Neurospora crassa OR74A: one gene and its partner. The protein of the gene in region 1 purifies or fractionates together with the protein of each later gene. This does not show direct contact. Links are inferred from orthologs where the notes say so. Each region holds a gene or a part of one and is shown on either strand. Other genes may lie near its edges. The genes, in order: NCU06105 and NCU04115.

Region 1 (16,259 bases):
GCTGTGCCGTTCTGTCGCATTGTTGTAAGACTCATCGAGCTCGACTTCCTTTTTGGTAGTTACACCCATTTCTACGATTCGTCGCGCGATTCGAACAAATTTCTTGAATACCCACGACACTCGACCGGAAATCCGTCGATAACCAACTTTTCAACCAAAACCATCCTATACCGCCAAAGATCAAAGACAAAATGGCAGGCGGTAGTGGCCCGGCTGGTCGTGGACGTGGCGGCAAGTTCAAGAAGTACACTCGTGGAGGTATGTTAATAACACAGATGCTGCCGGAGCAGTACTCTCCCTACCTGCTACAATCCTGTCTGTTAACCACCAACCTTCCTTCCAGGTGGCCACCATTTCTCTCGCGACCTTCGCCCCCTCGACGCCGATGGCAACGAAGTCGGCATGTGGGGCGCCGGCGGCGGCAAGAACAGGGAGTCCGAATCCGAGGAGGAATCCTCCGAGGAGGAGTCTTCCGAGGACGAGGCTGCCGGCCCCTCTAGCAAGGCCCCCAAGGCTGAGCTGACCCGCGAGGAACTCAAAGCACAAAAGAAGGCGAAGAAGGAGGCAGCCATCGCGCGCGCCAAGGCCGCCGCGGTGCAGGTTGGCGACTTGCCCCCTAGCGACTCGGAGGAGAGCGAGGATGACGCCAATGACGCGCCCATGCCCGCCAACCCCAACCACTCCAAGGCTGCGCGCAACCAGACCAAGAAGCCCGTCGCCAAGGAGGAATCGGATGATGAGGCTGTCGCTAGCCGCGCCAAGAAGCTTAGCATAGCGGACTCGGCACCCGGCAACAGGAAGGAGCGTGAGGCGGCTGCGGCGGCTGCGGCGAAGGAGAGGTATCAGAAGCTTCATGAGGCTGGCAAGACGGATCAGGCCAAGGCCGATCTCGCGAGGTTGAAGCTCATTCGTGAGAAGAGAGAGCAGGAGGCTGCTAGGAAACAGGTATGTGACATATTTGTTGCTCCGCCATCGTACATCATACGGGGCTTGCTGCTAACAGTCTCCAATTTTGATAGGCCGAGAAGGAAGAACGCGAAGCCCAGGAGAAGCTCAAGAGGGAACAGTTTGAAGCCAAGGAGGCCAAGAGGCGTGAGGCAGCCCTTGGTCCTCAAAAGAAGGCCAAGAGCAGCAAGAAATGAAGGCAGTGAGGATGGTGTTTTCTTTCTCGATCTCTTCGTCTATTCCCCGTGTACCGCTGCGAACATGCAGTGTCATTTATTCGAATTTCTTCCGGTGCCTTTCATTCGTCCAGCCCTGTATACCTGTATATGCAATTATGGTCTATATGTTGCTCGTGGACTTTGTCCTTGTTCCCGTCTACTCCGCCGGTATGCTATGTATATGTCGTTGCCTTTTCCACCCCTCTCTTCCCTCTTTCAAGGTAGGTCATTATAGCCCAACTGAGGGATCCGACCCAACAGCCTCCTTCCAAAACGCGTCAAAGTCCACACCATTCTCTTTGAACAGATCCCGAATTTTCTGCGCCACCTCGATTTGGCGCTCCTGCGTAAAGCCGCCCTGCTGGGTCTCAAATTGAATGACCTCGATCCAGCGATAGAAAAGGTTCTCCTTTCCGATGGCCGTCAGCGCATCACGGAACGCAAAAACCTGCCTCCTGCGTTCAGCCTCCTGCGCATTCTCCCCAGACTCATTCATATCAATCGCAATCCACCCGAATTTGTCATGGTGGCAAAGCACGAGCGTCCTGAACGCGTCCAGGGGAATCTCTTTCTTATCCACCAAGGTAGTCGCCTTAACCATAGCCTTCCAATCCAAGTCCCAGTCCCCGTTCATGGTCAAGTATCCCGTCTTCTCCTGCAGCAGCATCGGGGAAGTTGCATTGCGAACCATGTCCCACAGAATCGTGCGCGCCTCGTTGCCCTGCGGCTTCTCCGAAAAGATATCCACACCATAAACCTGCGTGTCCCACGACCGCGACCGGCGCACATAGATCTCCTTGTCGCGGAACCCAATGGCCGTCCGCCACAACACGGGACTGCCGTGCTTGCGCCCGAACACGAACTCGATGGGCCACGGCCAGACGAACACGGCGAGGACAAAATCGAACAGAAACGTAAGCGTACGCCGGCCGGCCACCGCAAAAAATTGCCGATAGGTCAGGTCGGCCATGCGAATCGTTGTCGAGTTTTCGTACCCCAGGAACGAGGAAGACAAAAGCGCCACGTAGTAAGGAATGATGTACCACATGCGCCACAGGAAGAGGGCGAAGACGACGGCGTTGAGCATAATCGGCACAGAAAAAATCTTGCGCTTGAAGGAGGCCGGCTTCTGGTCGACATGCGCGATGTAGACATGCTTCTTGGAGAGAGAAGAGGTGAAGGGCTTGAGTGAATCCGGGGCGATGCGGAAGGGTTTGGGCGGCTCGAGAGCACCGCCGGAGCTGCTGCTACCGCCGCCGCGTGCTCCTTTGCTCGTTTTCTTTGGCGCCATGTTTGGCGACCTATGTGGGTGTATGATGAGGGAATTTGGCGAGCAAATGAAAGAAGACAGTATAAAAAAAAAGACGGTGAAGGAATGGAGGGAAGTGGAAGTAGGCGGCTTCGTTGAAAGAAGCTTTGGGGTTTGGGGCCAGATTTCCGGAGGCCAAAAGGGTCCACGTCGGGGTACGTGCCTTGTATTGTTTGTAAGCCCCTGAAGCTGACCTCTGCTCAAAAGCACCTGCCTTGACCCTAACCCGGCTCCTAAACTGCTCGCTGGACAGCTGCCCCTCACTACCTATTCCTACAACCCAGCACGTACAGGAAGTACCTCTACTGTAATGCTGTTTTATCTTATCAGTCACTGGGTGCCCACTTTAATATTGAAGCGCTGCGCGCTGCAGCACCAGTAACGACCGGGAAGCTCTGGTGAACTGCGGGACGGAACGGATCGCCCGTGTAAGTTACAAAATTCCACCTTGGCTGTCGCGCCAGGCTCTTGTTCTATCTCCTCTCTGGTCTGGTCCTGCTGGGCAAACTATGCCCTGTGATAGAACAAGATGATGAGGGGCGGACTGTTGCAGGTAAGTGCGGTTCCCGATGCGCGCATTGCTCAATGACGACGACGTCAAGCAGGAACTTGAAGTCAGTAGAAGTCAAATAGATGGCTGACATGGAAACAACCACTGGAAACAGAAGCAGAGCACTTCCTCTGTGTGTTTGCTCTGCCGCCACAGATGGCAACTTCGCCAGCAACAGCAGCAACGTATCTATCCGAATACCCGCCGCATATACTCTTCGTGGGACGACAAACCTAGCTGGGGTACCCAACAACAGCCTGCGACACCGAGCGCCGGAGGAGGAGGAGGAGGAGGAGGATGGGGTGGTTCCTGGAAACCGGCCGCCCCTGCGACCCCAGCCACTCAAACGACACCCGAACCAGGAACGGCGCAAAGTCAACCCAAGTCCGCCAACGCTGGTTTGCTTCCTCACGAAGTCGCCGCTAGACAGCGCTTGTTGCGCATGGCCGAGGCCGCTGTGGCTGCTCAGCCCGCTCCACGTCCCGCTCGAAACCCGGCACCAGAACCTCCCAAACGCGCCTCGAGTGACCGTCCGGTGCGCCGGCTACCTGAAGGTCAACAGAACGAGTTCAATAGGGCCCCGCCTCGCAAGGAACAGCAGGGACCTGTGGTGCGTAGGATGCTTCTGCACCCGAAACAACCAGGTCAAGACCCTACAACAGAAACACCAGGACCCAAAACTGAGCGTGAAGCCCAAAGAAGCCAGGCTCCTGTCCGCAAAGTTTTAGAGCCTTTTGGTATAAGACGTTTTCCAGCACGGGCGCCTCAGACTCAACAGCCAGCTCCTAAGGAATCACCTTCCAGTCAAACGGCTCCTAGGGAACCGACCCCCAGCCGACCGACACAGTCCCTAGCAAGTACAAGTCAACCAACTGTCAGCAGTCTATCCAGCCTTTCCAGCGGGGCATCATTAAAGCCGGGCCCAGCCAGCCAACTCAGTGAACAAACTGATGGGGCCTCGGGGGAAAGCAGCTGGGATGCTTTGGAAGCCGCCAGTTCGGCGTCCAGCCAGCCTCCTAAGCCCGCCAGTGGAGAATGGGGAACAAGCAGCTGGGGAGCAAGCAGCTGGGGCGCCTCTTCAGCCTCCAGTCAGCCAGCCAGCCAATCTCAGACAGAACGACTCCTCCCCCACGAAAAAGTAGCCAGGGATCGGTTACAGCAAAGACATGCTCAGAGCCACCCTCAGGCCCCAGCAAGAAATCTGAAGAGCCTTGCTGATGGTCTTTTTGCCCATGATAGACAGACAGGTCAACTTTCGGCCAAGGATCTAAGGAAACGCCAGGAGACAGGTTCTCTCAAGAACGACTTGCTGAACGCCGAGGAAGAGGAGCGTCGTGCGGACAATACAGATGCATGGGATGACATATTTTCCACTCAGCCTCCGCCTCCCCCGCCTCCTCCTTCTACACGCAGAACTTCAGCTCGTGAGGTTTACCAGTCGATTTCATCAAAGTTTGCACCTCCACCTGCACCTCCATCGGATTCCAAATCTTCGCGTGAAACCGAGGGGCAATGGGCAGGGCTCATCCGCCGTACAGCCGGGGCAAACGTTGGGAACGGCCGATTGACTGGTAATAACGATTTTGTCAAGACCGCTCCCCCTTCTGAAACTGAAAAACGTTCGGAGCCCAGAGATAGTCGCAACTTTTGGAAGCAAGCTGAAGATCGATATGCAACCAGTCCAGCACCTCACGCGCAGCCTGAGACGGCTTCCGAGAGCACTCGGGAGGCCACCGAAGCGTTCAAGAAGCAGATGTCGGATGGCTGGGATTGGGCTGACGACTACGGAGGGAAGCCTAAGGAGAAGGAAGGACAAAAGCTGGAGCAGCAAGACTTTGAAAAGCCCAGGGGCAGGGATAATGCAAGACAGACCAGAGGCGATAGGGTTGCATTGGAAGAGATACCGATTCCCTCGCGGTATATCAAGGAGGAAAAGAAGCCCAAAAAGAAAGGGGGTAGGCGGCGCGACTACAACGAAGACGATGATTTCGATGATATGGCGTATGAGTACAAGCGTCGTGAAAGGTTGGCCAAGAAGGCTGAGAAGGAGCGGCTCCAGTTTGAGGAGACTGGCCCCATTCCTATTCTCCTTCCCGAGTTTATCAGCGTTGCCAACCTCGGCATGGCCCTTGGCGTGAAGACCGACCTGTTCATCTCCCAACTGGGAGAACTCGGATTTGAAGACATCGCCAAGGATAGCATCATGACCGGCGAGACGGCCGCGTTGGTTGCCCAAGAGTACGGCTTTGAGCCAACAGTCGACGCTGGTGAGGATGAGGACTTGAGGCCACGCCCTCCTTCTGAAGACCCCTCTAGCGTACCCCTACGGCCACCAGTTGTCACTATCATGGGACACGTCGATCACGGCAAGACTACTCTGCTCGATTTCCTGCGGAAGTCTTCGATCGCAGCCGGTGAGCACGGTGGAATTACCCAGCACATTGGTGCCTTTTCTGTGCAGATGTCCTCGGGTAAGCAAATCACCTTCCTGGATACCCCCGGCCACGCTGCCTTCCTATCCATGAGACAGCGCGGCGCCAACGTCACCGACATTGTGATTTTGGTTGTCGCCGCCGACGACAGTGTCAAGCCGCAGACCATCGAGGCCATCAAGCATGCTCGATCCGCCAAGGTACCCATGATCGTGGCCATCAACAAGATCGACAAGGACCAAGCCAACGTCGAGCGCGTCAAGTCTGACTTGGCCGCCAACGGCGTCGAAATTGAGGACTATGGCGGCGATGTCCAGGTTGTCTGCGTCAGCGGCAAGACCGGTCAAGGTATGGACGATCTCGAGGACAACATCCTTCTTCTGTCCGAGATGCTCGACATCCGCGCCGAGCCCGACGGCATGGCTGAGGGATGGGTCCTTGAGTCCAGTATCAAGCCGATTGGCCGCGTGGCCACCGTGCTCGTCAAGCGCGGCACTCTGCGCCCCGGCGATTTTATCGTTGCCGGCCGTGTCTTCGCCAAGGTGCGCAGCCTGCGCAACGAAGCGGGCATTGAGGTCGAAGAGGCTCCCCCCGGAACAGCCGTTGAGATTCTCGGCTGGAAGGAACCACCCGAGGCGGGTGACATGGTTCTCCAGGCCCCTAACGAAGACAAAGCCAAGAGCGCGGTGCACTATCGCATCGAGCAGAAGGAGCGCGAGGAGGCCATGGAGCAGATTACGGAGATGGAGCGGCTCAAGCGCGAGCGTGAGGCCGAACGAATCGCGGCCGAGGAGGCTGAGAAGGGTGAGGATGGAGCCGAGGCGGCAGAGGAGAAGCCAGATGGGCCCAAGATGATCAACTTCACCGTCAAGGGCGACGTACACGGTTCGGTCGAGGCCGTATGCGCGTCGATCCTGGAGATCGGAAGCAACGAGGTGCGCCCTCGCGTGCTACTGTCGAGCCCGGGCCAGATCACCGAATCGGATGTCGAGCATGCCGCGGTTTCGGGCAGCACCATCATCAACTTCAACAACCCGATTCCTGGCCACATCAAGCGCATGGCGGTCGAAAATAAGGTTAGGATTATGGACCACAACATCATCTACAACCTGACCGAAGAGGTGCGCCAGGTGCTGAGCGAGAGCTTGGCCCCCACAATCTCGTTCAAAGTACTCGGCGAGGCCGAGGTGGCGCAGGTGTTTGCTATTAATATCAAGGGACGGAAGTACAAGAACATTGCGGGCGTCAAGGTCAGGAACGGGATGGTGATGAGGAATGGGCGGGTGAGGTTGCAGAGGAAGGGAGAGGTTGTTTTTGATGGTGAGTCGATCATTTTCTTTTTCTTTTGTGGTCTTATCTTGTTACCAATCTTGCTAATCAACAACAAAACACAGGTACCATCAGTTCAGTCAAGCACGGCAAGAAGGAGGTTACGGAGATGCGCAAGGGCACCGAGTGCGGTCTCGAGTTTGGCGAGTTTGACGACATCAAGGAAGGAGATCTCATCCAGGTTGTGGAGGAGATTAGAGAGAGGAGGTATCTGTAAAGGATTGTTATCCTGTTGTACAATTATTATACATGTACGATTGTGCAAATCCTGGAGTTATGAGAAGATGGGTTGTATCTGTGGGAAAAAGATGGATGGTGGTGGATATAGATAGTGTTGCATATACCAGCAGCTGCCAATGTATAGACATGATGGCACCACGTCAACAATGGTGCATGTAAGAATTGATCGAGGGTTTGATGGGAAATGAGCATGGTCAGCTTCATGACTTCATGGGGTAAACAGTAATGCATATATATATACTCCTTGTCTCGTTGTATAATTCTCCTGATTTCATCAAGTGCCCCCATCATCATCATCATCATCATCCAATCTCCTTTATCTTCCTCCTCTGGGTGCAGATATGGAAGCAGACGAGAAGGTGCCTGTCAACGTAGCCCGCGCCCGCTCCTTCTCCAGCTTCTGCAGTCCTATCCTATCGGTAATGGGCGTAGCAGCAATGATATTGTCAAACTCGTCATCCTCCTCCCCATTGTCGGAATCCGGCTCGGCATCGGAATCTGGTTTGTACTGCCCTTGCGGTCGGGCAATGGTCTCGACCGTCTTCTTGGGCGGTTCGGGGTTGGCAAACGATTTGGAGGCGAGGATTTTGCGCCGAATGGCCTCCATCTCGGCTTCATCATCGCTATCGTCGGATATGGCGAAAGGGTCCTTGTCTTCTTCCTCTGACTCCTCTTCGGCTGGTTGTTTCTGTTTGGGCGGTGGTTTGGTGCCAAGGTAGATACCGTCTACGCTGCCGTCTTCGTCGTTACTGTCTGCCTCCTCATCGCTATCTTCCTCGTCGTCTTCGTCGTCGTCCTCCTCATCTGAGTCATCCATAGCTGGCCTCCGATTTGTGTTTCCGGTCGTCCAAATGTCATCCGACTCTCCCTCTCTGCTCTCAGTATACTCTTTTTCTAGCCTCTCCCTCCACGCCTCCTCCGCCTTCTTGATCTCCTCCTCATCCTTGCACGCCGAGTAGATCTTGAACAGCTTCGAGTTGATATCCAGGAATGCCCTGCCGTAAGAAAACGGAGCCAAAATCTCTTCCGCCCACTCCAAATGACCACAGATGGCAAAGGCCGCCGCCAGCGCCTCCACGCAGTTCAGCCGAAACGGCTTACCATAGTTGACCGTGTTGGCCGCCACGAGGTACGGCAACAAGCGCTCGCACTTGCCGCCCACCTTTTTCCACTCCACCTCCTTGGTGCGGGCCCACGAGCACTCCACCACCGCCGCGCCATACTGCTCCATCAGCTCCTTGTCGGCGGGCGACACGACCCGCTTGCCGTTGGGCGTGATGATGACGCCCGAGTGTCGCTGGCCCAGGTGCAGCTCGCGCATGAGACCGAGTTTCATCAGCTTCTTGCCTGAGCACCGCTTCGGGTCGCAGTGGCCTAGGTCCCAGCAGGCGGCCTTGAAGGGAGGGCGGTAGGGGCGTGAGGACGTGGACGGGTCGTGAGGGTTGGCTGTGGTGTCTTCGCCGCCGCTGCCGGCATTGTCTCGGGGGCCTTTGCTGCTGCGGGGGTTGTTGCGGGGCGCGTTCCGACCATGGCCGCCTTTGCCGCCGCGCGAGGAGAAGCCGTCCTTTTTGTGGCGGACCATAGTGGTGATGGTTTGAATTTCGTCGGGAGGATGGATGTTGTCGAGATGGAGTGCCGATGGTTTTGGCTCTGGGGTTGAAGCTTGTAATTGACGGACTTTTTTTTATGTCGCAATGGATGGATGATTTTGGCACGACCTAGCACTGCCTTGCTTTACCAGGGCAGAACTTGGATGGAAATATGCGTGCCGTCTTGGACCACAATGCGAGCTGCTTGCGCTACAAGGTTGAAGTGGCAGATGGCGAAAAAAGTTATGGATGCGATTTGAAGACCTTGACGACATCGCATTTGGGGTTCAGTTGGTGCAGGTGGGGTGGACAGGTGGGTCCGCTGAGGATGTCCATGATTGACGTCTTCCCCGGATTCATGCAACTCACCGATTGTTGCTGCGGAAGATGCTCGATTCGCAAGCGTCTGCCGCGCTTACACCATGCTGGAGGCGCTTGTCGAGGTGCTGTGGATTGAAATTGCAGTGTATTATTCATCCACAAAGATAGTATTCTTGTAACGCAGTCTCGCAACGTACCGATGTGCGGCTCCATTTTTCCTTGCGCCCCAACAACCTCAACGGCAGGCAACAGCGCAGGCCCAAGCCCAACCCGTCCGTCCAGAGCACTGAGAGGGGTCCACGACCTGACCTAGCCGTGTAAGCTCCCGTCCCCTAGCAGCAGTAGGCCTCTCCTCCTTCCATCAGCCAGCGATCCAGGTGGACACATTCCCGTTACCTCTAGGTACAGAAGTTCGGATCGAATCATAGTCCAGTCTCTGGGTGTATAACGAAGTATCAAACTGTAGTAGTACCATACCATACCTCTACTCACCATACTTGGTAATAATCCCAACGGCTTACCGGGAAGAGGGGGAGCTTCACTAGGTACCTACCTTACCTCTAGCACACAACTCCTCTAGACTACACTAGAGCTTGACCGACCAAAGGCTTGGTTGGGTCCTGGTTGCCGCCATCCATTACCTACCTATCCAGGCGACTCCCGCCAAGCTGCGCAATCTGGCCCCAATACCTCCTCGGTCTCTTCAGTCTCGTCAGTCTCCTCATCCACCACTCAACACGTCCCGACTCCCCGAGAACGCCGGCAACATGGAGGCGGCGTCTGCCCGCTATGCCACGCGCGACCGGTGGGCCGAGATGGGCCGCCCGGCCCCGTCCCAGCTTCAGCGCTTCATCACGGCCGCCTGCAGTCCCGACAACTACGAACCCAACTTGGCCCTGAACCTCGAGATCGCCGACTTGATCAACTCCAAGAAGGGTTCCGCCCCTCGAGAGGCCGCCGTGGCCATCGTCAACTACATAAACAACCGCAACCCCAACGTTTCGCTGCTGGCCCTCAACCTGCTCGACATCTGCGTCAAGAACTGCGGCTACCCCTTCCACCTCCAGATCAGCACAAAGGAGTTTCTCAATGAGCTGGTACGCCGCTTTCCCGAGCGGCCCCCGATTCGCCCCACCCGTGTCCAGCTCAAGATCCTCGAAGCCATTGAGGAGTGGCGCTGTACGATTTGCGAAACGAGCAGATATAAAGAGGACTTGGGCTTCATCAGGGACATGCACCGCTTGCTGAGCTACAAGGGGTACACCTTCCCGGAAGTCAGAAGGGAGGATGCTGCTGTGCTTAACCCGAGTGATGTAAGTGTTCCGTCCCGATTCCATGGGTCATTGTTGAAGCGTGTCTAACCTATCTGTCACAGAACCTAAAATCTGTCGAGGAAATGGAAGAGGAGGAACGCGAGGCGCAGTCCGCCAAGCTGCAGGAGCTTATCCGTCGAGGTACTCCCGAGGACCTCCAGGAGGCTAATCGACTCATGAAGGTCATGGCTGGCTATGACACGAGATCCAAGGTGGATTACCGCGCCAAGGCGGCCGAGGACGTGGGCAAAATCCAACAAAAAGCGAGACTTCTCGAGGAGCGGTTAGAAGCCTTTCAACCCGGCGACAAGATCGTGGATGGCGATGTGTTTTCCGAGCTCGCAGCCGCCCTGTCTAGCGCCCAACCAAAGATCCAGAAGATGTGCGAGGAAGAATCAGACGACCATGAAGCAGTCGCAAAACTTCTCGAAATCAACGACAGCATACACCGAACTGTGGAGAGATATAGGTTGCTGAAGAAGGGCGATATAGAGGGTGCCAAGGCATTGGCAAGTGGCGCGCCAGTTGCAAGCACAAGCAACGGCAGTGGAAGTGGTGCTGGCAAGAGTGCGGCGCAAGAGCTGTCGCTCATTGATTTTGATGCTGAGCCAAGCGGGGGGGACTCGACCAGCCAGTCCGCACCCCAGGGAGGAAACAGCCTCGACAACGACTTGCTTGGCCTGTCGCTGGGTGAAACCAGCTCTTATGGTCAAGGAGGTGGCATTGCCCTCGGGTTCGGTGCCAATACGAGTATGTCACTCGCTGCTTTCCGTGCAAGAGTCAAAGAGAATGTTGCTAACAGATCACCACAGACATTCCTGGACCGGCACTGCTCTCATCCACCACGCAGAACAGCACCGCACGGGGCCCCTCCCCTCAACCTGGCCCATCCTCTTTCAACAATTTCAACTCATTCGCATCACCAGTTGCTTCTCAATCAAGCACCCCCAAGCCTCCCGCGTATACAGCATCCGCTTTTTCCGCGCCAGCTGCGTCGTCAACAGCGTCCAACGACCCATTTGCTGCTCTAGCCTCTCTCTCCTCTTCATCTACCCCGGCGCCAGCGCCAGCACCAGCTGCTACCGGTAATGACGATGACGAGTGGTCTTTCTCCTCGGCACTGCCTCCTGAGGCGACACCCGCCCAGCCTAAGGAGCACAGAGCCGTTGTTTCTAACACTGCGCTCAAGGTCGACATGGTGGCTGTCAGATCTCTGTCCAATGGCCCATCTCCAGCCATTTCTATGCAATTTGCTTTTAGCAACAACACAGCGCAACCCATCACCGAGGTGCATTTCCAGTTGGCTGTCACCAAGGTAAGCTCACTAATCTGACCCTTGGCACTTTGACCAAAAATGTTTTGGGCTACGTTATGTGCCTTCGTCAGTTGTAGAAAGCCCTCAAGCGAGATGCTAATTGTGATGCTTGAACAGGGATACGAATTGCAACTTCAGCCTCAAACAGGACGGACTCTTACCCCCAAGCAGAGCCGGGGCATTACCCAGTCAGTCAACGTATGGTATACGGCGGACAAGACCAGGAAGGTAGAGAGCGTGAAACTCAGGTGGAGGGTATCATACAAGGTTGGAGCGGAAGCAAAGGCCGAGATGGGTGAGATTCCCGAGTTCAGTGTGGCATAAGCAGGAACTTTGGTAAGAACGAGGGCCACAAGAATGAGAACAGGGTTGCGTGCATGTTTACGTTCAAAATTCATTCATAGTAGTACAGAGCCAATTAATATGTAGTGATCCGATGACCGGCAAGAACAACAAGAATATCGCTGCGGTCGACTTTTCTGTTTACTGGGAGTTGTTCGGCTGGATCAAAGAAAGGAGACGAAGGACATATTAGCCACAGGTAGCTTGTCTGTCCCTTTCGTTCGGTGGATGGCTACCTACTTACTACCTCATACTTCATGCCTCTTTCCTCTGATATGCGACCGACATATTGCAGGCAACCTCAGTCACTTCACCTCACAGGAGTCGTACTTACCAGCTGGGTCAAGGTTCGTAGTTGCCACTTCCCATCACTTCTCACTTCTCATCTTTCTGGGGGTTTCTCATTTTGAGACGAACAAGACTCCCCATTCTCTCATTGACAAGTGTTCCAGAAGCACGACCTCCAGCCACCTTATTCTCCGCTCCTAGAAATCCGGCTGAACATTTCTCTTTACTCGACGTCTCTACGGCGGGCTATCACGAACCTTTTCGCCCTTGTTCATTCATTATTTTGTGGCATTTGCAAGGCCCTGTCAGATTATCGTCGTCCATCAAACGGAGTACACACTTATCCACGATATTCAGCTTACATTAGTGGTAGGATATCGATGAGCGATCAGTTTTCGAAAAGCACGAGCTTTGAAGCATGGTTGCCCCAACTGATCCTCGTCCCGGTCTGTCTCTGATTGAAACTCCCCTCATCCATTACTTTGTAATTTGCACACTCATTATGAAACCCTCTAACAATCCGGATGAACTGCTCAAAGCCATGAAACTACACCACGAACTATATATCGCGAATCTTCGGCTCCTTCATGAACTGACACTCAATCTCAACTCCCCTACTGTTCTCCCAAGTAGCAGTGGGATTGAACGCTCACGTATCCACGACAGCACCCCGTCTACGCCGCCTAGGGGCTCGACTTTCTCCCACGACAATCTTTCTTAGTGCACATTCGGTTCCAATCGTTATTAACATCAAACGAACGAGCTGCATAGCTCGAGACCATATAACTTTTCAACTCAAGCGCCTTCCAACGACAGAGCATCTCAGACGCCCACAATGACCGACAACGATGGTGATGATCTGCGGAGCCATTCCTTCTGCACCGCCAAGCCAATCGAGCAAGAGTCTTTTACGGAGCAAGATTTGAGAACCCATCTGACATCACTCAATAGTACCAACTGGGCTTTGGAAGAAATCCTACAGGTTCGGCGTGGGGATGAGTATATTAGTGCCCCACAACAATCTTTGGAACCATGGGAAGAAAGACGTGACGGCACATACAAGAATGCCACATACGAGGTATACGAGATACCCGGGAGTGGTGATCAGAAGTGCATGCCCGAGCCCAAACACAAAAAGAACGGAGACGACCCTCAACAAGTCCTCAGCGTCAGTAGCGTCTGGGACACCCTCAAAGAGGTGAACATAAACGGGAAGGCGGTCGGAAGAATAACGTGAGTGTGTATTTGCTATTGCGGAATTTTGAACACTCTTGTTGACGGGATCAAGTATTCTTCAAGAGGTCCCCCCTCTCGTGCTCGGAGCAGTCCATATGACCATGCGGAAACACTTCGATATGGACGAGCTATTCCAGCACCTCATTTCCAGTGAAGGAAATAACGGAAAGACCAAAGTGCGTGATACCATCATTCAATTAACTCGTCGATCTAACAGAACATACCAATCTAGGCTTATATGGATCGAACTACCGAATCCAACCCGCTAAGGCACAGGTCATTCTTCTTCGTCTTCAAGTACTATACTGTTGTCAATGAGAACAAGTGCACCCCTGCGCCGTGGCAACGTTATGATAGACGTCCAGCCGACCGAAAATGGCCCGACCATGTCGACATCGCAGAGTGCAGCTCAATCTTGGCATTATCACTGGGCGGTGATCCAATCAAAAAGTACCGGGCACGGGTGAAGAAAAGAGATATCAAGGACCATGTTATTTTTGACACATCGGCACCATGGCAACTTCTCAGTATCCAATGCTTCCCTGATGACGAGCACACGATGAGGAGCGAGGGATCAAAACGGCCGTTATGCAATGGCCCACTTGCATTTCTGGATAGCTTGGCTCTTGAGTACCATGATGCCGTTACAAGATACAGCCAGATCAACGACGAGGTGACAAAGCTTATCACACCGCCAGTAAGAACTCTGTCGCTTGAGCAATATACCAGACTCACCACTAACCTAACATACTTGTTCATAGAGCCAATTCATGTTCAACTCTGAACTTCGGGACGGCCTTCTGTTTGAAGACGAAAACTTTTCGTATTCCCGTCGTTACTTTTGGGCATACAACACTCTCGGTGTGATCAATGTAGGGATCGACTCGATGGTGTCAGCCTACAAAGAGACGTTCACCCAAGAATTCTGGGAAGGGAAAAATGAGAAGCTTTGGGCGCACCCATACCCAAACACGAGTGATGGTCAAGATTATGCTAAATGCATGGGAGTTCTTAGACAGGAGTTGGATAGGGAAGTGAAAAACCTGGAGATGGTGCGGAAGAGGAACGAAAAAACACGAGACGAGATTTCGTCGCTGAGGGAACAGTTGTTTAGCGGGAGCAGCGTCAAGGAGTCCAGAAGGGCCATTGAGCAGGGAGACAACATCAAGATCCTTACCATGGTGTCGATGCTCTTTCTGCCTTTAACTTTTGTAACTGTGAGTAAGCTTCCATTTTTTCGTATTCTTCTGATTCCTCACTCTCCCCTCTTATCATACAATGTGCCGAGTGTCCGTCATTCCCAGCCTGCGTTGTATTCACTACCATATATATACCTACGCCCCCTTGCCCGCTTTTCTCTTTACCCAACCTGTACCTTGCACCCTATCTTTGACAGAAAAAAAGAAGGCCTGTTTTTTCACCCTGACTTGTGTTGCTATGCATTTCAAGAAAAAGGTTCGCTACTAACTCGATCTCAGTCCGTTTTTGGTATCACCACTCTCGAGATATCGGTCGATGACTGGCGCTTTCCTGTCACTCTCATAGCGGTTTGCATCCCTTTTTTCATGGTCATATTTGTCCTCCAGACCCGCTGGGGCATGAAAATGGCTAAGAATATGGGAAACCGGATTGATAGATATACCAGTGAATTGTTTAATAGGCCGCCCTCAACGAACCCATGGCAAACGACTGATGACCATGGTAGGATGAGGGAATGTTCGTCCACGGCCAACGGAAACGACGTTTTGGGTGGGGGAAGAGATGGTCGGAAACGGCCTGCGCTCAGAGACAGACGAACAAAGTCTGACTCCCCATCAAGATTCTCTACCAGGTCTGGAGCAACAAGGGGAGGATTTCGACATGGTCTTTTCCATCAGCATCAGATATGTGGAGGCGGTTCATGGATATGGACAATGATGGAACGGATAGGAGGACTTTTCGCCTCGATGATAAACTTAAATCGGTGGAGTTGGCTTCTGTGGCGGAGGAACAAAGAGAAGACAGACGATTCGGCTTCAGGTGAGGGAGCAAGTATCGAGCAGGTGTAATTGTCCACGCCGGAATGTAATGGTTCGTAGAGAAATGGAGGGCAGGCGAGTGTCGAGTAGGTATACACCGATCAGATTCCATTTTCTTTCTCTCGTCCTAGGTACAGCGCGGATCAAGTCCCATAACAGGCAGAAACGTAATACACCCAGCAAGGATTTGCACATTGCATTGTATCGCCATGGTTCGTTTCCTGCTGTCATTCCTTCCTATCTCCCACCCTTGATTCAGAAGTCTCCCACGAGACTACTACACGCCGCCCTTTTTGGAGCAATACGCGCTGTTTTCATGCCCATCCAGGTACACCACCCACTACAGCAAGATTTTCCTTCTGGACTACTGCCACCTCACTTCGTTCTCTTTCCTTCCCCTTCCCCTTCCCCTTTCTTTCCATCCTTTCACATCACATCACTCGGTCACACCCTCCACCTTGCCCTGAGCATTCGTCCCGTCCATGGGCGGGCCGTCGTTCCCGCCCGTCGCCGCCTTTTCTTTTGCGTACTCGTCGGGGGTCTGGCACTTTGCGCTCCACGCGTGAATCCGCGCAATTTCCTCCTTGAGCGCGGCGTTGACGAGCCGGTGCCGCTTGAGCGAGTTCTTGCCGACAAAGTCCGGAGAGACGATGAGAGAGGTGAAGGAGGCGCCGCAACCGCCTTTATTTTGTTGGAAAAGAGGGAGGTGGGGGCTTAATTTAGTATATGTACTTGATTCTTTGGGGGGGCGGGGGCGGGGGCCGAAGGGATGGTATGGGTTGATGGAGGGAAGTAAGCAGAAATGTGAGGGAGG
Region 2 (15,357 bases), on another chromosome or scaffold:
TCAGTAGCTGGCACTCTTTTACCGTCTCCTCCTTCACGATGGCTGCAAGCTCGGCGTCCTGGATGAATTTGTCGGCCGCGGCGGTGTGGTCGCTGCAGATGTCCTGCATAACTCGCTTGGCGTCCTTGAGGAGGGCATCTTGTTTATGCTCGTCACTTGCATATGCGGCAATGGCTTTGAGATTCTTGAATACCTCCAGTAGCCTGTGTAGCTGAGTTAGCTGCTGGTGTTGGCCACGGACGGAAGGGGTTGAGTTGAGTGATGAGTGAGGGTTTCATAATGAGATGCACCACTCACCGACTGGTGGTCCCAGTAACCTTCTTGCCCGTACTCCTTGCTGAGCAGACGACTACTAGCCTATGGTCCTTCACATACGCTCTGTTTTCAAAGTGAGGTCAGTCACAGGGCCCTTGTTAACCAAGCATTCATGAGCGGTGTGACACCACACCCAGATTTCCCCCCATTGCCCTTACCTGATGATATCCTCTGCGATTCTGTCGGGGAACTTGCCCACGCTTGTGCCACCGAATTTCTGCACGATCCAGCCATTGGGGCTGTCGTTCTGTAGTAGTTGGGGCCCGGCCATTCTTTGTTTTTAGGTAATGTATGAAAGGGTATATATGGGGTATCTCAGGGATGAGTGAGTGAGTGAGCGAGGATTATTTCCGATGTTTAAAGAGAGAGAGTGTTTGGTCTTGAGACGTGGTGCTCAAGTGACTCAGCCAGCGCAGAACGAATGTTCCGTTGTCCCTGGTCGTTGCGAAGTCGGCGCTCTGCAAAGGGGAGCCAATGATGCTTTGTCCAGGTTGCAGTGTTCCAATGGAAGGGTCGCAGCACAGGATCGTTCTCGAAACCTTAAATTTAGCGGCCCGAAGAGTGGAATTGGCCGCGCCAATGGGTGTATCCGAGGTCGCTGCAGGGTACGAGTGCCGCTGAAGTCAAGCGAGGGTAGTATCAACAAAGATTGACTGAACTGAGGCAAGGCTGTGTGAGAGAAAATGGGTTTGAGATAAAAACAAAACTCGATGTCTTGGAAGCCAAGAGCCAAGAAAAAAGAAGAGTTGCTGTTCTCTTGTTCCCTGTCGGACCCCTTGTCCGGAGCTGAGTCGGGCGTTGCGGGGGTGGGGTCTGTTGTCGGCCAGGCTCTTGGTTGTTTCTGTTCGCCCGTGTTAAGTACACTAGAGGTATAGAGGCAAGATAGGTAGGTAGTAATCATCCAGTACAACGACAACAGAATACCTAGGTATGTAGTGTAATGACCGTTCAAGAGGGGGTATTACCTTGTAAGATCCGTCTCACACTATTTCTCTGGAGCAAATTAGCCCAAGTTCAGTGTAGAAAGAAGACAGTACCTCCAAGCAATCTGAGCATAGGTATCTAGGTAGATCGAGTAAGGAAAGCGAGCAGAGAAGCGCAGGCCCCGGCCGGGCTTCACATGAAACACAGTCACCGCATCTCACTAACAACCATATTCCAGAACTCAACCGGGGGCCCTTCATCGATCATTCCCCACACCATAATCATTTTAGTGTACGAAAACGAACAAGAGGACGGTAGCAACATGACCGGCTGTTCTCCAAGGGGTTTCTCGTTCCTGGCGAGAGACAGGGCTCCCTCCGCAACATTCGAACTTCAAACAAAGTACATTTGTGTTAACTCTTGACGACAAGATGCACCAAAACAGCTCCTTGGCTAGCAGCGTTGTATCGCAGTGACAACCTTGAGGTGAGTGGGGATGTTTTTGCCTCGGCGGGACTGTTTGGACCTGGATGCTGCAGTGCGGCGTTTCTCCTGGTGGGTCTTTCAAAACATTGGTCGCACTCGCCACCACCACCACCACCACCACCACCACCACCACGATGATGCTGACGACATGGGAGGCTCCGGAGGACTCGGGCTACGCTAGTGAAAAGGAGACGACAACCCGATTCTGGGGTTTGTCAATTTTAGAGTCTATAGTTAGTGTCCCATATAAACCCTTCCGAGGAACCTTTCTACGGAAACTGCGGAAATTGACATATGACATTTGGGGATCCGGCAATGAAGAGCAAAAGGACGATTGAATAGCAGGAATTTGGAAGACCTCTGTTTTCGCCAAATTTGTTTGATATGGTACTGTATCTTGTGTTTTAGTCCCACTGACCACTACACTCATTCATGCTCGACAACCCGTGGAGCATTTATTTTGAGTGTATAGAGAGTAGCCTGTCCCTGATAAAATTGTTGAGATTTTCGCTTATACCTTGGGTATACTCTGACTACGCATTTCAGCGTCTTCAGTACTCCTTTGGACTCAATATTTAGGCTGTTCTTGGACAAACATACCCCAAAGGGACTTTAGTCTAGCCGATGTGTTTTCGAATTATTATAAGTCCTGTAATAATTTTGCAACGGCCTTTTTTGACCACAATGAGCGTTTATGGGACTGGTTTATAAGACCAGTCGGTCGATCGCCCACTGAAGCAAAGGTCTCATTGATTCTGTCATAGACGAGACGATGTAATTGCCAAATGTTCCTTATTTGTTTTTATCTATTCCTTCTAGTACTCCAAATCGGCTCTCCCCAAACCTCCCCAGCAGTGCCGTTCTCCTTCGCTCTCCAGCATCCGATCTATCATACATCGTACATATAGCTATCCTAACCAGCCATCCATGATCGGGTCTAGAGTGGAGAAAGAGAGTGCCCTAAAAAGGAGATCTGAAAATAATAATAACAAACATAGCAAGTAAAATACGTGACATGTACACAGTAAAAAGGTGACGATGCCCTCCTCCTCTGAAGCGAGCATCGCGTGAAGCATGGACCTTGACTTTTGGTCACTTGCTCGGCGGGTATATGGTAGAAGATGCGGGAGATTCATGCCTGGGTCTGGGCCTGTGAGGGATAAGATATCTCTCTGTGTCAGCGGCCCGACCGGGGAGCTTGTCCCACGTGAGTAAGTGGCTGACAATGCCTCAAACTCATTACCATCTGCTGTAGACTGGGGTGTGGGAGTGTGACGGATTGCTGAAAATATCATTCAGCCATCACTTTACTCCCTCACTGGCTCCTTGTGCGACTTCACATCCTTCTCCACCGCATCGTCAACGTCATTCTCCGCCTCCGCAAATTCCTCCTCAATCTCCTCAACCTCACTGACATGAGGATCCCCAGAGGGAGGGCGGTGGTCCGGGGAGACATCACCACCGCTCATCTGCCACTCCATCAGCTTACTGAAGTGGCTGTCCTTGTTGGCGCTCAGCTCTGTGTAGCTGCCAATCTCAGCCACGGTACCCTCGCTCGAGAGCACAATGATCTTGTCAGATCGCTTAATGGTGGACAGTCTGTGAGCAATCGAAATGGTGGTGCTGCGGCCCTTGAGGAGTTCCGCAAGGGCAGAATTGACCAGGGTCTCGGATTCGGCGTCCAAGGCGGAGGTAGCCTCATCCAAGATAAGAATATCGGGGTCCTTGAGGAGGGCGCGAGCAATGGCGATGCGCTGCTTCTGGCCACCGGAAAGCTGGGCGCCACGGGCGCCGACCTGGGTCTCGAGGCCTTCGGGGAAGTCGCTAATAAAACCGCAGTTGGCCTTCTGGGCAGCCGCAATGATCTCGGTGCGCGGAGCCCGTGGACGGCCGTAAGCAATGTTTTCGGCAATGGTACCCGAAAAGAGGACTGGCTCCTGTGAGACCATGCCGATGCGGCGGCGGAGAGACTTGGCGTTCATCTTGGAAATGTCGATGCCGTTGATGGTGATGCTACCGGATGTGGGGTTATAGAAGCGCAAGAGTAAGGAGGCCACGGTGCTTTTACCTCCGCCTGAAGGGCCTACAATGCACACGTTTGTGCCCGAGGGGATCTCAAAGTCGAGGCCATTGAATATCGTAACTGCAGGTCTGGTAGGGTAGGCGAACGTTACATTCGAGAACTTGATGGGACCTTGCGCAGATTCAACCTTCACACCAACGGTCTGGGGGATGGCCGGCTTGCGATCCTCGAGCTCGAACAAACGACTCGCTGCGCCGACACCCTTCATCAGTTCCGAGTAGAAGCCGCTAACACCGAAGAGACTCGAACCAGCAAAGACAGTATACATCATGAACGAGGTCAAATCGCCCAGAGACATGGCCCCTGAGCGCACAAGGTTCCCGCCGACAATCAAGAGAGCCAGGATCGCCAGATTTCCTGCATACGACGTACTGCTGAAAAAGACACCCGAGACAATGGCCTCCTTCCGGCCCAGGGCGAAAATCTTTCTGACCTGCTTGTTGTAGCGACCCACCTCTTGCACTTCAGCGGCAAAGGCCTGGCTGGTCTTGATGTTACCCAACCGTTCCTCGGCGATCTTCATCAGTGAGCCGACGTTCTTCTGGATCTGCCTGCTCAAGTTGCGAATGTTGCGACCGTAGAGAACCGCTCCAAGACCGATAGGGGGAACCATGATGAGGATAATGGATGTCAGCTTGGGGCTGAGCCAGAACATGGCCGCGAAACCCGCCGCTCCGCTAACCATGGAACGGAGACCATCAGACACGTTCTGAGTAATGCTCTTGCCCACGACAACCGTGTCGGAGTTCAGTCGCGAGATCAGATCACCGACCCTGTTGGCATCGAAGAACTCGGCATCCTGGACGTAGGTGCGGCGGTAGAGATTCGTGCGCAACCGAGCCACGACGCGCTCGCCGACGATACGGAGAATGATGATTCTGCCAAAGTTGGCCGTCGCACCAAGAGTGAGAAGACCAGCGAGGCCGCCGAAGAACTGATAGAGGGTAAGACCGAAGAGCCGAACCTCGCCGGCGGGACCCTGGGTGGAAAGATCCAGAATTCTGCCGATCGAGAAGGGGATGGACATGGTGACCGCGGACGAGATGAGAAGCAGGACGAATGCGACACTCATCGCCTTGACCTCGGGGCGCGCAATCTTGATCAGACGCCAGACCTCGGCGAAGCCGGGCTTGGTGCCTGATTGGGATTTGCCATCCTTGGAAAGACGAGCGCTCATGTTGATATGGGCGGCCTTATGCGCCCTCTCGCTTTTCGTAAAACCGTGTACCTTGAGGTGTTCTTCAGATGTATATTCCTTGACCTTTTCAACGTCCTTTGCCGCCTCTTCTGCTGTCTCTGCCGCAGCTTCCTTGGCCGGCTGCTCCCGTAGGCGAGTTTGTGAGGTCGATAGCTGGCGGAGAAGGCCGAAGGGGGAAGTCCAACGTTGGGATTGTACGCATGGTCGTGATCCGGGATGGGAGGATGAGAAAGGAACCGAAACGATGGTAAAAGATGTCGTCGAGGGCCGCTGAACTGACGAGAACGGACGGCAGAATTTTGCGGACAGAATCGAGGAAGTCATAGTGGGCGATCGTTGGAACGGCAGCAAAGCCGCGAGCCCGGCGCCGCTACCGCCGCATTGGGGGAGCAGCACGGCGCGGCGCACCGCTACCCCCGTAACCATGGCTTGAAGTATATGTGTCTTGGGTAGGTCGAGTGTGTATGTGACTAGGTACTAGGCTCGCTGTATCGTAGAGTTTCGGTGTCGAGTTTCTATCATATCATGTCGGTGTTGTGCAGTGGGCTATGTTACTAATTGCCTGATGCGAGACCGCTAGCGCGCATGCGCGCCTGTTTCTGCGCTTGTCAATGCCCGGTTCCCTTGAGTCCCTGCACTGCGTGCGAATGGGTGAGTTTGGTGATGTGGAATGTGGTTGAGGAACTGTTGAAGGAAACGTGGAGAAAGAAGTGGTGGAAAGGTTCCGAGGTCGAGGGACGGGACGGACGGCGGGGGGGATGATGGAATGAAGTCGGGATGACACCCAGGCAGTTCGGTCGGCTCGGCCGTCGGTGCAAAAACCCTTGCTTGTCCCGGCGGACGGGATCTCAACTTCAGTGGTCAATCGCCGGTTTGGCGCTGCAGCAACTGCGATTGATTCGCCGCTCAAGCTCTGGGGACCACGACGGCGGGAGGGCGGCTTCGATTCCCTTGTTCAATTGTCCCTCTCCCCCCCCCCCCCCCCCCCAAAACAGGGCAAAGCGCGCATCTTTCACCTGCAGTCGGACATTTCGTCATTCAGCAGCGAAGAGCAAGCCACCACCCGACAACGATGCCGGCGGCATCCACTGTCAATTCCGGAATGCGTTCAACGATGTCGGTACCTTCTACAAGTGGCCCGTGCTCAAGCTTGGCCCATTCCACTCATGCCACTTATTTGTACCTCAGGGGTATTGAAGCTGTGCGGACGTCATCAACTTCAAAGGTCATCATGGTAATGAAAAAAGACGAAAAAGACGATCGCTTGTGTAAATGCCGATGATTTTATTCACGATATTTCTACAGCGAACCGAATGGCGCTTTGCCCGTCAAGAATGAAGCATGCCAATAATCCTTAGTCCTGTCCTTCTGTATCTCCACATACTCGCTCCAGAGAAGGTTTCAGGCCCGCGCCAAAATGCCACATGAATGATGATTCTCGCCATACAGCCATTATCGTTCCCCTAGACCAGCAATAACGGCAACAACTCCAGAGTGTTGGGCCATATGCACTCAAACTGATACAAAGGTAGAAAAACTTCAGTTCGGTCAAGTTTTGCTTCCAAAAATCTTCTCCCCGTCCTTGTTCTAAATCGTGCTTTCCTTCTGGATCATCTCGGCGACATCGGCATCTATGCCTACGTCAGGAATGTCGGCAGTCTCGTCGATCTTGCGCTTTTTGGCCTCTCGAGTTGGAACAGACTCATATTGAGAAGCGAGGGCGGACAGCATCTCAATGCCAGGAGCAGATCCAGTTGGGTGAGTATGACCGTTCTGCGGCTGTTGTTGCTCAGACGGGCGATGATCGTAGAAATCGTCGTGATCTTGGACGTGGGGCGGCGTGAGTGCTTCAACCTGAGGACGGGCGATGCCGTGGCCATCCGAGCTAGATGGAGCGCGCTCCTCACCGGTAGCCGGCTCTTGGGTATTGTGAGGCAAACCTCCAATGATGCTGAGCTCAATTGCTTGCTTCTTCTCCTCAACTGCCGTCTTGCGGGTGCCTAGATCCCTGAGCTGTGATTGCTCGGCCTCCAAGGCCTGTCGGTTGGAGCTCAACATCTTCTCCAATGCGCTGATCAGCTCTTCGCGGGTCTTGATGCATTCCGTCACGGCTCCCTCAGCATTGGCAAGGTTTTTAAGAAGCCCGTTGAGTCGCGCGGCATACACTGGCGCCTGAGGAGGAGCGTGGGCCGGATCCATCAGCTTGCTGTAGTCCGAATTGGCGGTAGTAAGGCTTGTCTTCAACGCCTGGGCACTCTTGGAAACTGCCTGCTGTGAGGTAACCAAGGGTGCCAACTCTGGAGGCACCGCTGCAGCTGGCGACGACAACGATGTGGAACCGAACATTGTTCCACCGGAGCGGGCTGAGTCAAGCTCTGGATTGAACAAGTTAGTAGCTTGTCTGCGGAAGGGCTGAGGCCACGGCTTACCTCTTAGTCGAGAGTCTATGGCGTCCTGGACTTCTATGGGGAATATCTTGCGTTCTCTCCAAACATCAACAACCCTTCGGAGCTTGTTCTGGATGTCTGACGAGGCGCCCTTATAAGACAACGCGGTTGCATCTGCGATGAATGGAGAGAAAGCCTGAAGGAAGTCATCCTTGTTGCGAGCTTTGGATTGCTGCGTCACCTCTATGAGAAAGACGAATAAAGTCAGCATTCAGTCCCAAACGAGAAGAAAGAAACCCAGAACGAACGCCGGGGGATGCACATCACATGCAGCCTATGTGGGAGAGCCTGGGAAATGCACGCACCGTTTGCAAGATAAATCATGTTGAGCCTCTTGGGACTGGGGAGGTCCTTCAGCTTGGTCAACCAGAGATGGACAGTCTGGGCAGCATGTCGCCTAAGATACATCAACAGTCAGTTCGGCGGTCGAGACATCAAACAGCAGGTGAATGCGGTCGTCGGTCGTGGGCAGCGGGAGCTTACCGATGGAACATGATCCACTGAGCGGTGGTTGCAATGCTCTCGTGAGTCTCAGTGAGTGCAGAGAGCTTAGAGAGCACAGCATCCTCGTTATACGCCATGGTGAAGCTTTAGGCGAAATTTGTTGGAAAGTGTTGGAAAAAGTGGTTGTTGATGGTTGGTTGGTTGGTGGGTGTGATGGACGGGGCAGATGTTCAAGATATGCGGTGTCGGGTTTATTCAGAACTCATCTACAGCAGTACGAAAAGGTATCCGTGATGTTTGCGTGTAAGTAGCAGGGACTCCAGACGCGGCCGAGTGGTGATCTAGAATATGGATCGAAAGCCCTTGGGAACAACCTCAAATGGCAGAAGCGTGGACTATCAACACAACACACTAGATGACGGCAAGAGAGAAGTGCTCAGCACGAACTAAGCACCTAGTCAAGCTCTGTGGTCCAACTACACCGGAGTCGTTTCCCTGCTATTACCAATGCTGTCACCAGGAAGAGTTTGCAGTGCAAAGCGCAAATGAGCGTGATCTGGATGCTCTGTGACAAACAACTGAAACCACAGCGAGGTGAGTGCTGAATGTTGTTGATGAAAGGAAGAAGAAGAAGAAGAAAAAGAAGAAGAAGGAAGAAAGAAGTTGTCGACGGGAGGTGGTGGGACGGAACGAAGCAGACGTTGGAGCTTCCTCCATCCGTCCAATGCGAGGGCAGGCAGGGGAAGAGGGACAACGGAACGCCTGCCGCACGCAGACAATGGAGTTGCCTGCCGGTACCTAAAGGTAGCTGTTACTACCTCTACGGCTTCCCCTGGCCAAATGGAGAGGCCCAAGAGGGTCGCTGTTACTGTGGACAAGTGCCAAAGTGCCCCAGTGGCCGCTGTGAGTGGCGTCCCGTCGCAACCTGGAACCTGGCGCGATCAGGAGCGCTGGGGTGGGCTGCAACTCGGACTCCCGCAGTGCAACACCAACACCAAAAGACACTTCCATCAAACAACGAAACACCTTGCCTGTTTCGCAGCTTTCTTCGATCCTCCGTCCTACCCAATATTTCCGTTTTTCAGTCCACTTCTCCAGCCTCCAGTCTTGTCCGTTCGCGCCGATCTACCAAAAGTCAAATCACACCACCCACATCATGGCTGACAGATTCCCCTCGCTGGAGGAGTTCGACTCCGGCGGTAAGCTTGGCGTTGTTTGGAGATCCCCTTACCTTGCTGTTACTGCCTGCTAACATTCAAACCCCCACAAAAGCCCAGACCGAGATCAAGGAGGGTTCTGGAAGCCCCTCGGCCTCCAACTTCCTCGAGCGCGAAAAGGCGCTTCTCGGCGACGATGCCAACCAATTTGCGACAGTTGAGGATGCTGGTTTCGACGATGACAACGACCTCCTAGGGGGTGGCCTTGACTCCTCCGCTGGCGCCGGCGCTGGCCTTGAGACTAGCGCTGCTTTCGAGAGCCAGTTCCCCGACCTTTCCGCAGGCAACGAGGTACGACTAAATAATGATGATACCAAAGATGTCGACACAGCACGTAATCATGGTCTTGGGTTCTAACATGGGGCATCTTCACTTTAGTCTGTTGCGCCAGGCGGTACCATCACTGGCGCCGGTCCTTCCGTCACCTACAACTCTGGATATGCGCCATACGCCCAGGAGGAGCAAGAGCCCGAGGTGATCAGAGAGTGGCGCGAGAAGCGTGATGCGAAGCTTGCCAAGCGGGCGGAGCAGTTCGCCGCCCAGAGAGCCGAGACCATCGCGGAGGCGCAGAAGAACATTGACGAATTCTACGAGAACTACAACAACAAGAAGGAGAAGGCCATTGGGCAGACCCGCAAGGAGGCCGAGGAGTTCCTTGCCAGCCGCGAGGACACCACATCGGGAGGCACGAGCTGGGAGCGCATTGCCAAGCTGGTTGACGTTAGCGGCAAGGGAGCTAAGGGCGGTGCTGCTGGTTCCGGCAAGGAGCGTTTCCGTGAGCTCCTGATAAGCCTAAAGAAGGACGAAAAGGCCCCCGGTGCCTCGGGGATTTAAAGCGCTTACTTGATCTGCCCCCATGACAAAGGGAACGCCTGGTTACCACTATTCACAGGTTTCACACCTCCATGGCCACTACTGCCCCATGGCCAAAAAGCCATAATTTTGTAATGATAGAAAAGACTTGACAGCTGCAGCCATCAGTGTTTGGAGCTTGGTAATCGAAGCGCCGAGACCCAATGGATCACGATTTCCACGGTTACAGTAGCTCTCCCAAAGGTGGTCGGTGGAATCCATGATGCAAATAGGGAATATCGGCGTGGCGGCCTACTTCTTGGAGGTATCACCCAAAGCGGCCTGCCCTCTGCCGCCATCTATGCTGCTCTTTGCGACTATACACATATTCAAAGGGATTCTCGTGCTTCTATCATGACCAGTAGCACCGCCTTCGTTGACTATCGTGGTAGGACGGCTAATTTAATCCTCCGAGAACCAGGTGTTGTAGCCGAGAACCTTGCGGGACATGGCGTACATGGAAGCTGATGTACAGTTAGCGGAAGGAGCAAGGACGAAGCGATAAGCCATCAATGAAGGTATACGCACCGCCGAAGGTACCCCACATGGCAATGTTGAAGGTGGTCATGATGATGCCGCTGCGAGGGCCCTGTTCGCGATTTTGTCATCAGCCCTTATCCCGACAAAACCTCCCTCTCCGTCTCTCCCTCTCCTCCTTCCCATCTGTTGATTCCCCAACCATCCTCAAGTGTCGACTTCAACTCACAATCTTCCAGAGGCGGGTGTGGTTCTTGAAGGCCTGCTGGTAGTAGCGCTGCTTCTCGGGGACGTGGTTGGGGGCGTTGACGAGGCCGCTGCAGTCGGGGAAGAAAGAGAGCTGTTAGCCTGGGATTCCAAAATCGTACGACGAACAATAGTGCGTCATGACGACAGGTAATTGGACCTGGGGCGGCGTCCGCAATGCGCGCAGTCGCTGGAGGGTCGTCGGATCGTCGAGGAGCTCGCAGCCGGAGGGGAGAAGCTTACGGCATCTTGAAATTGTTGTCGGGGGTCGTTGGGTGGAAGATTCCGGGGGGGTGATGCGAGGGGTTGGTGTGATGATGTCGAATGCGTGGAAAGGACGGAGAGTTAGCTTTGAACCTCTCACTGCTTCAGGTTTCTCGGCTCGGGGCTTCCTGTGGTGCACGGACTTGTGGATGGTGGAGACTGCAGACCCGACGGCGGAAGCTCTGCCTGCCTGCCTGTTTGCCAGGTGTAAGGTTTGGTCAGTGCTCACAGCTTTCAGCTGCTGCTGATGCCTCGACATTGACCTTCAGACTGAGCAGCTCAGCAGACTCACTGCCTGCCGGGAAGGATGGGGGATTGAAACACATGATCGTAGGATGACTAAGAAGCAAGTTAGGGAGCGATCCCCGGCCACACCTGCAAGGTCCCCTCCACTTTTGTGTCCCCTCCACTCCAGAACGTCAAAGCTTCCAGCCCGAGGAGTTTCCACATCCCCTCACAACCCCATCCGTGGGATGGACCGCCCGCGATACCCCAGAACTCGAGTCAGTCAACGAAGCCCCAGGTACCTCGCGATCTATACGAACGATACGAACAACGACGCCAAATAACCCAGCGGCAACCTCGAAGCGAAAAAGAAAATGAACATGATCGCATCAGACAGCCGCTAAGAAGAGTCCCCGCCGCTCATATGCCCAATTCTCTGTGTCGAGCGGCCACAATTCCATTATGCGAGTCGTGCCTCCTGTGCTGCGACATGTAGCTCGCTCGCGCCGCTCCACCATATCGCACTTATACACGGACGCTGTGCACTTACAGGCGTCTGGACTACCATCATGCGTCAACTTTTCAACGAGCGCGTGCTGGTCGCGGTCGTTGACGGCATACGCACTTTCGGAGACTTTGGCGGCGGAAGAGGACCACGGTGTTCGGAATACAAAGAAGGCACGGGGCTCGGCAGTGCAGGCGCTACCAGGCCAAGCGTCTACCACACACGACCTGTCAGCATGGTCGGGCTTTCGGTCATCCCGCATCGCTAACCAGCCCTTCAACCGTGACGATTGGGATGTCTTGACGGCCACCGAGGAAGACTTGCGCTTCCAGTGTGATGTCCACGCAGATTCGCCCGAAAATGGAAAGCCGCGACTGGTTGACTGGCCACAGTATGCGAACGACATCACCCTTTGGTCGTGCATACTTGAGCACCGCCAGCGCACCGAAGGAGATGCCGGAGTTGCAGCAGTTCTCGAGGGTCTGCAAAAACGGCGAACCTTGACGGAAGTGGAAGGCTCAACTGCCGAGAAATTCTGGCAAGCAATACTAGATGTGGCCGTTCACGATCAAGCAACACTGCACAGTGCTTGGTCCTATGCTGAGTGGCTCCACAGTGACCGCGGAGTCCTTTGGCCAAACCTCTACGCAGGTGTTGTATCTTTCTTCATAGCACAACAGGATACACAGTCAACGCTGCTTTGGCACTTACGCCTAAGCTCGTCGTTTTGCTCCGACTCAGAACCCCTTACCCACGTGCTGAAGCAGTTCATCACTAATTCAGACGCAAAGGTTCGAGAAATCCTACAAGCACTGTACATGACGAGTGTCCGCCAAAACCTCTACGACGAGATGATTCCTTACCTCTTCGCCCAAGGAGAGGAAGGTATTGCCCGTGATTGGCGTCGGCTGTTTATTTCTCACAACGACTTGCCAACAACCGAAGCTTCGCGGCCATTCTTACAGTTCTTGGTCGGCTTTCATCCGAAAATCCAGTTGACTGACAAAGAACAATCCTTCCTTATACCGCCGAGTAAAGCTGCGCTTCCAAGTAGTGCAGACCTGAACAGCCTGTTAAGGGACGACAAGTCGCAAGTTGGTATCAACTTCAACTACCAGATCTCCAAGGGTCTGGGTAATATCTTCGGCATCAAAGAACAAACAGATAATGACAGCTTGGGCGCTAGATGGTTTGCGACCCTCAACTTCTCCATCGAAACCATCATTGGTACAATCTCGACTCTCGGCTTTTCTGAAATCGGGCCACTTTCGTTACAGTCTATAGCCCGGCGCGAACCCTCCCCTGGCCGACTCCTTCATCACATTGCACAGCTGCAAGAGTCTGGAATCGGAATTGGTAACTCGAGCTATTCGAAAACACTACAGCACTTTGCTACAGTTGGCGACGAGGACCTGTTTGACGGTCTTGTCAATACAACCATGCATCCGGAAGAATTTGACAACTTCGCCAAGCACCCTTCATTCCTGAGTTTTGCTGCTGCGGAGGGAGACTTTATGCTCTGTCGGCTCCTTGTGGAAGCTAGCCATCTCAACACAAGGCAGATTCTGAAAGAGTCAACGAATGAAGCATTGTTGGTCTGTTTGAAAGCCAACAGCGCTTCACATATGGTTGGCTTCTTGGATATTATGGCCGATGGAAATATCGAAATGATGCACTCTACGGCCGATGCCATATCAAAACATGTATGCGAAGAAATAGTACCACGGCCTGCGAAAGATGGCGTGGACATTTCCTCCTATGCCACCATGTATAGACGGCTTCTACGATTCGGATATCCTCTCGCGTCCAAGGCTTCTCAGATCATTCTTTTCAGACTCGGACGTGAAGGACTGCATGACGAGCGCGACGATCTTGCATTGGACATTGTTAGTTTCTATGAGGGTACTCTGGGACCCGAGGGGGGCTTTTTCCGAGTTCACAAACTCGATCTACCCGACGCAGTCGCTCAGCAATTGCCCAAGTCAGAAAGGTTTATGAGCCTTCCATCCGGAATGAGCACAACGAGTCCCTACCATCCACTGCATTTGGTTTTTGGTAGGGAGCTCCTGGGGTCAATCATCCGCTGGGGTTTTCGCAGTTCCCGCGGCATGCCTCGGGATGCAACAGAATTTTCGAAGCCAGAACACTTCTTCTTCGCCCGAGGCATCAAGCTCGTAGCAATGCTCAAGGAGAAGGGAGTGCGGGCCGATGACTCTTGGGCGCGCTCAGTAATTGTCCCGGCTCTCACCGTACTTTTGGTTTCAGGCGAGATCAAGCGTTTTCACCGGCCCCCGAAACACGGGCATCACTATGTTACCCCGAAACTGAGGGAGACGCTTTCGCTCAAAGAAGCCATCAGGTTGTGCAATTTTGCCTGGGGTTCCTACGTCCTGGAACGTTTGCCCGAGTTGGTTCACCACTCAATGAAGGAGTGGAAGCTCAAGCTGAAACAGTCCCAGCCAGAACTGTTCATACCTTACAAACGCGAGTATGCGGTGGGGAGCAAGCTGTGGGTGAAGTATGGCCCCGGCGGTAGGCCACCGTTCGCCACAAAACTTAAACATCAACATCGACAGCAACAAGAGGAAGCAGACGCCAATCTAGTCCCAGATGCGCAAAGCTCAAGCGTTTGGAAAAGCTCAAAAGCCAAGACGGAAGACGATTTTTTCCAGGATTTTGAGGGCTTCGATCGCTTCCTCAAGTAACAGTAAGAAGCAGTCAAGCTGCTGCGGGATACACAGTACCGACCTAACTACCCATCATCTACTTCATAATTTGTCCTCCGACTTTCGATATGTGACCGCATTTTGCATGCCTTGCGGTCATATATTTGTACAAATACGCAGAGGGGATCTATAGACGATAGAAAGCACGGATTTCACAAGATCATGGTTAACAGGACATGACGAGAGCAGGGAAGGGAGAGCACGAGCTTCCGCGAGGAGGAACAACAGAACAGAACAATTTTGCTTAGGTCTGAAACAGACAGACGCTTTGCACGAAATGCACATACTGGCAACTTGTTTACATATCCGATTTTCGTTTCAACCGTCCACACACAACAATTTAGCATGATACATATATTCAGGTAGCAAGAAAGATGCTCACACGAGACAGCCACTTCCATCATTGGAGGAAGGGTATTCCACATTAAAGCTCTACCTTCACTAACCAGATACTATATACCCTCTTAAGCAATGTTTGCTCAACCTCATGCCATCCAACCGCCGGCGCTGACTTCCATGACTGGTTCAACGAGGACCAGTCGCCAACAGTACCCGGAGTTCCATGTCTTGTCCCTTTTTCCCTCATTTCTGGGGAGAGCACATTTCCCTTTTCCACTCACTCACCTAAAACGCCGCACAGCCCAGCTAGGTAGGCAGTCAGTATTGCATAAGCCAGTGAGTGAACAAGTGACGTCCAGTTCTGGCTTGGCTGGCTGGCTGGCTGGCTGATGGACCGATGGGCTGACGCAAGCAAGGCGCTTAGCTGTCTTCCTTCATTAGTACTGCACACATTTACTCGCTTTGGCTGGTCTATCCTTTAGTCATCTAGTCTTCACAAGCGGGGTCGGAGGAGAGGTTTTGGAACGGCTAGTGAAAGGGACTACACTAGTAAGTAAAGCGAATCATTCAACGTGTCATAAACTGCCGGTGTAGAAAGTGGAAGGATGA

What was found.
Region 2: the proteins of NCU06105 (region 1) and NCU04115 purify together in Saccharomyces cerevisiae (affinity purification with western blotting; 3 studies listed by BioGRID). This does not show direct contact. The link is inferred for Neurospora crassa OR74A from reciprocal best matches to the Saccharomyces cerevisiae genes GGA2 and CLC1.

Annotation. Positions count from the first base shown.
Region 1 is NC_026507.1:1,779,237-1,795,495, reverse strand, and holds NCU06105 (ADP-ribosylation factor-binding protein GGA1), read left to right. Parts: upstream 1-9,120; 5' UTR 9,121-9,700; coding exon 9,701-10,246; intron 10,247-10,308; coding exon 10,309-10,996; intron 10,997-11,058; coding exon 11,059-11,561; intron 11,562-11,678; coding exon 11,679-11,885; 3' UTR 11,886-12,216; downstream 12,217-16,259. Other genes in the region: NCU06101 (hypothetical protein), read left to right, coding at 192-258, 344-945, 1,020-1,142; NCU06102 (hypothetical protein), read right to left, coding at 1,393-2,454; NCU06103 (mitochondrial translation initiation factor), read left to right, coding at 3,002-3,025, 3,138-6,774, 6,849-7,000; NCU06104 (RLI and DUF367 domain-containing protein), read right to left, coding at 7,340-8,605; NCU06106 (hypothetical protein), read left to right, coding at 13,027-13,424, 13,480-13,603, 13,660-14,124, 14,189-14,644, 14,906-15,191, 15,247-15,344; NCU06107 (hypothetical protein), read right to left, coding at 15,882-16,126. UniProt on the Saccharomyces cerevisiae protein: May play a role in the regulation of membrane traffic through the trans-Golgi network.
Region 2 is NC_026505.1:4,891,902-4,907,258, reverse strand, and holds NCU04115 (clathrin light chain), read left to right. Parts: upstream 1-8,802; 5' UTR 8,803-9,053; coding exon 9,054-9,096; intron 9,097-9,169; coding exon 9,170-9,405; intron 9,406-9,492; coding exon 9,493-9,948; 3' UTR 9,949-10,152; downstream 10,153-15,357. Other genes in the region: NCU04118 (aspartokinase), read right to left, coding at 1-203, 298-378, 474-586; NCU04117 (ATP-dependent permease MDL2), read right to left, coding at 3,033-5,432; NCU04116 (DUF618 domain-containing protein), read right to left, coding at 6,594-7,381, 7,436-7,636, 7,759-7,850, 7,937-8,034; NCU04114 (hypothetical protein), read right to left, coding at 10,369-10,430, 10,495-10,555, 10,673-10,760, 10,933-10,937; NCU04113 (hypothetical protein), read left to right, coding at 11,641-14,388. UniProt on the Saccharomyces cerevisiae protein: Clathrin is the major protein of the polyhedral coat of coated pits and vesicles. In yeast, it is involved in the retention of proteins in an intracellular membrane compartment, presumably the trans-Golgi. The yeast light chain is important for cell growth.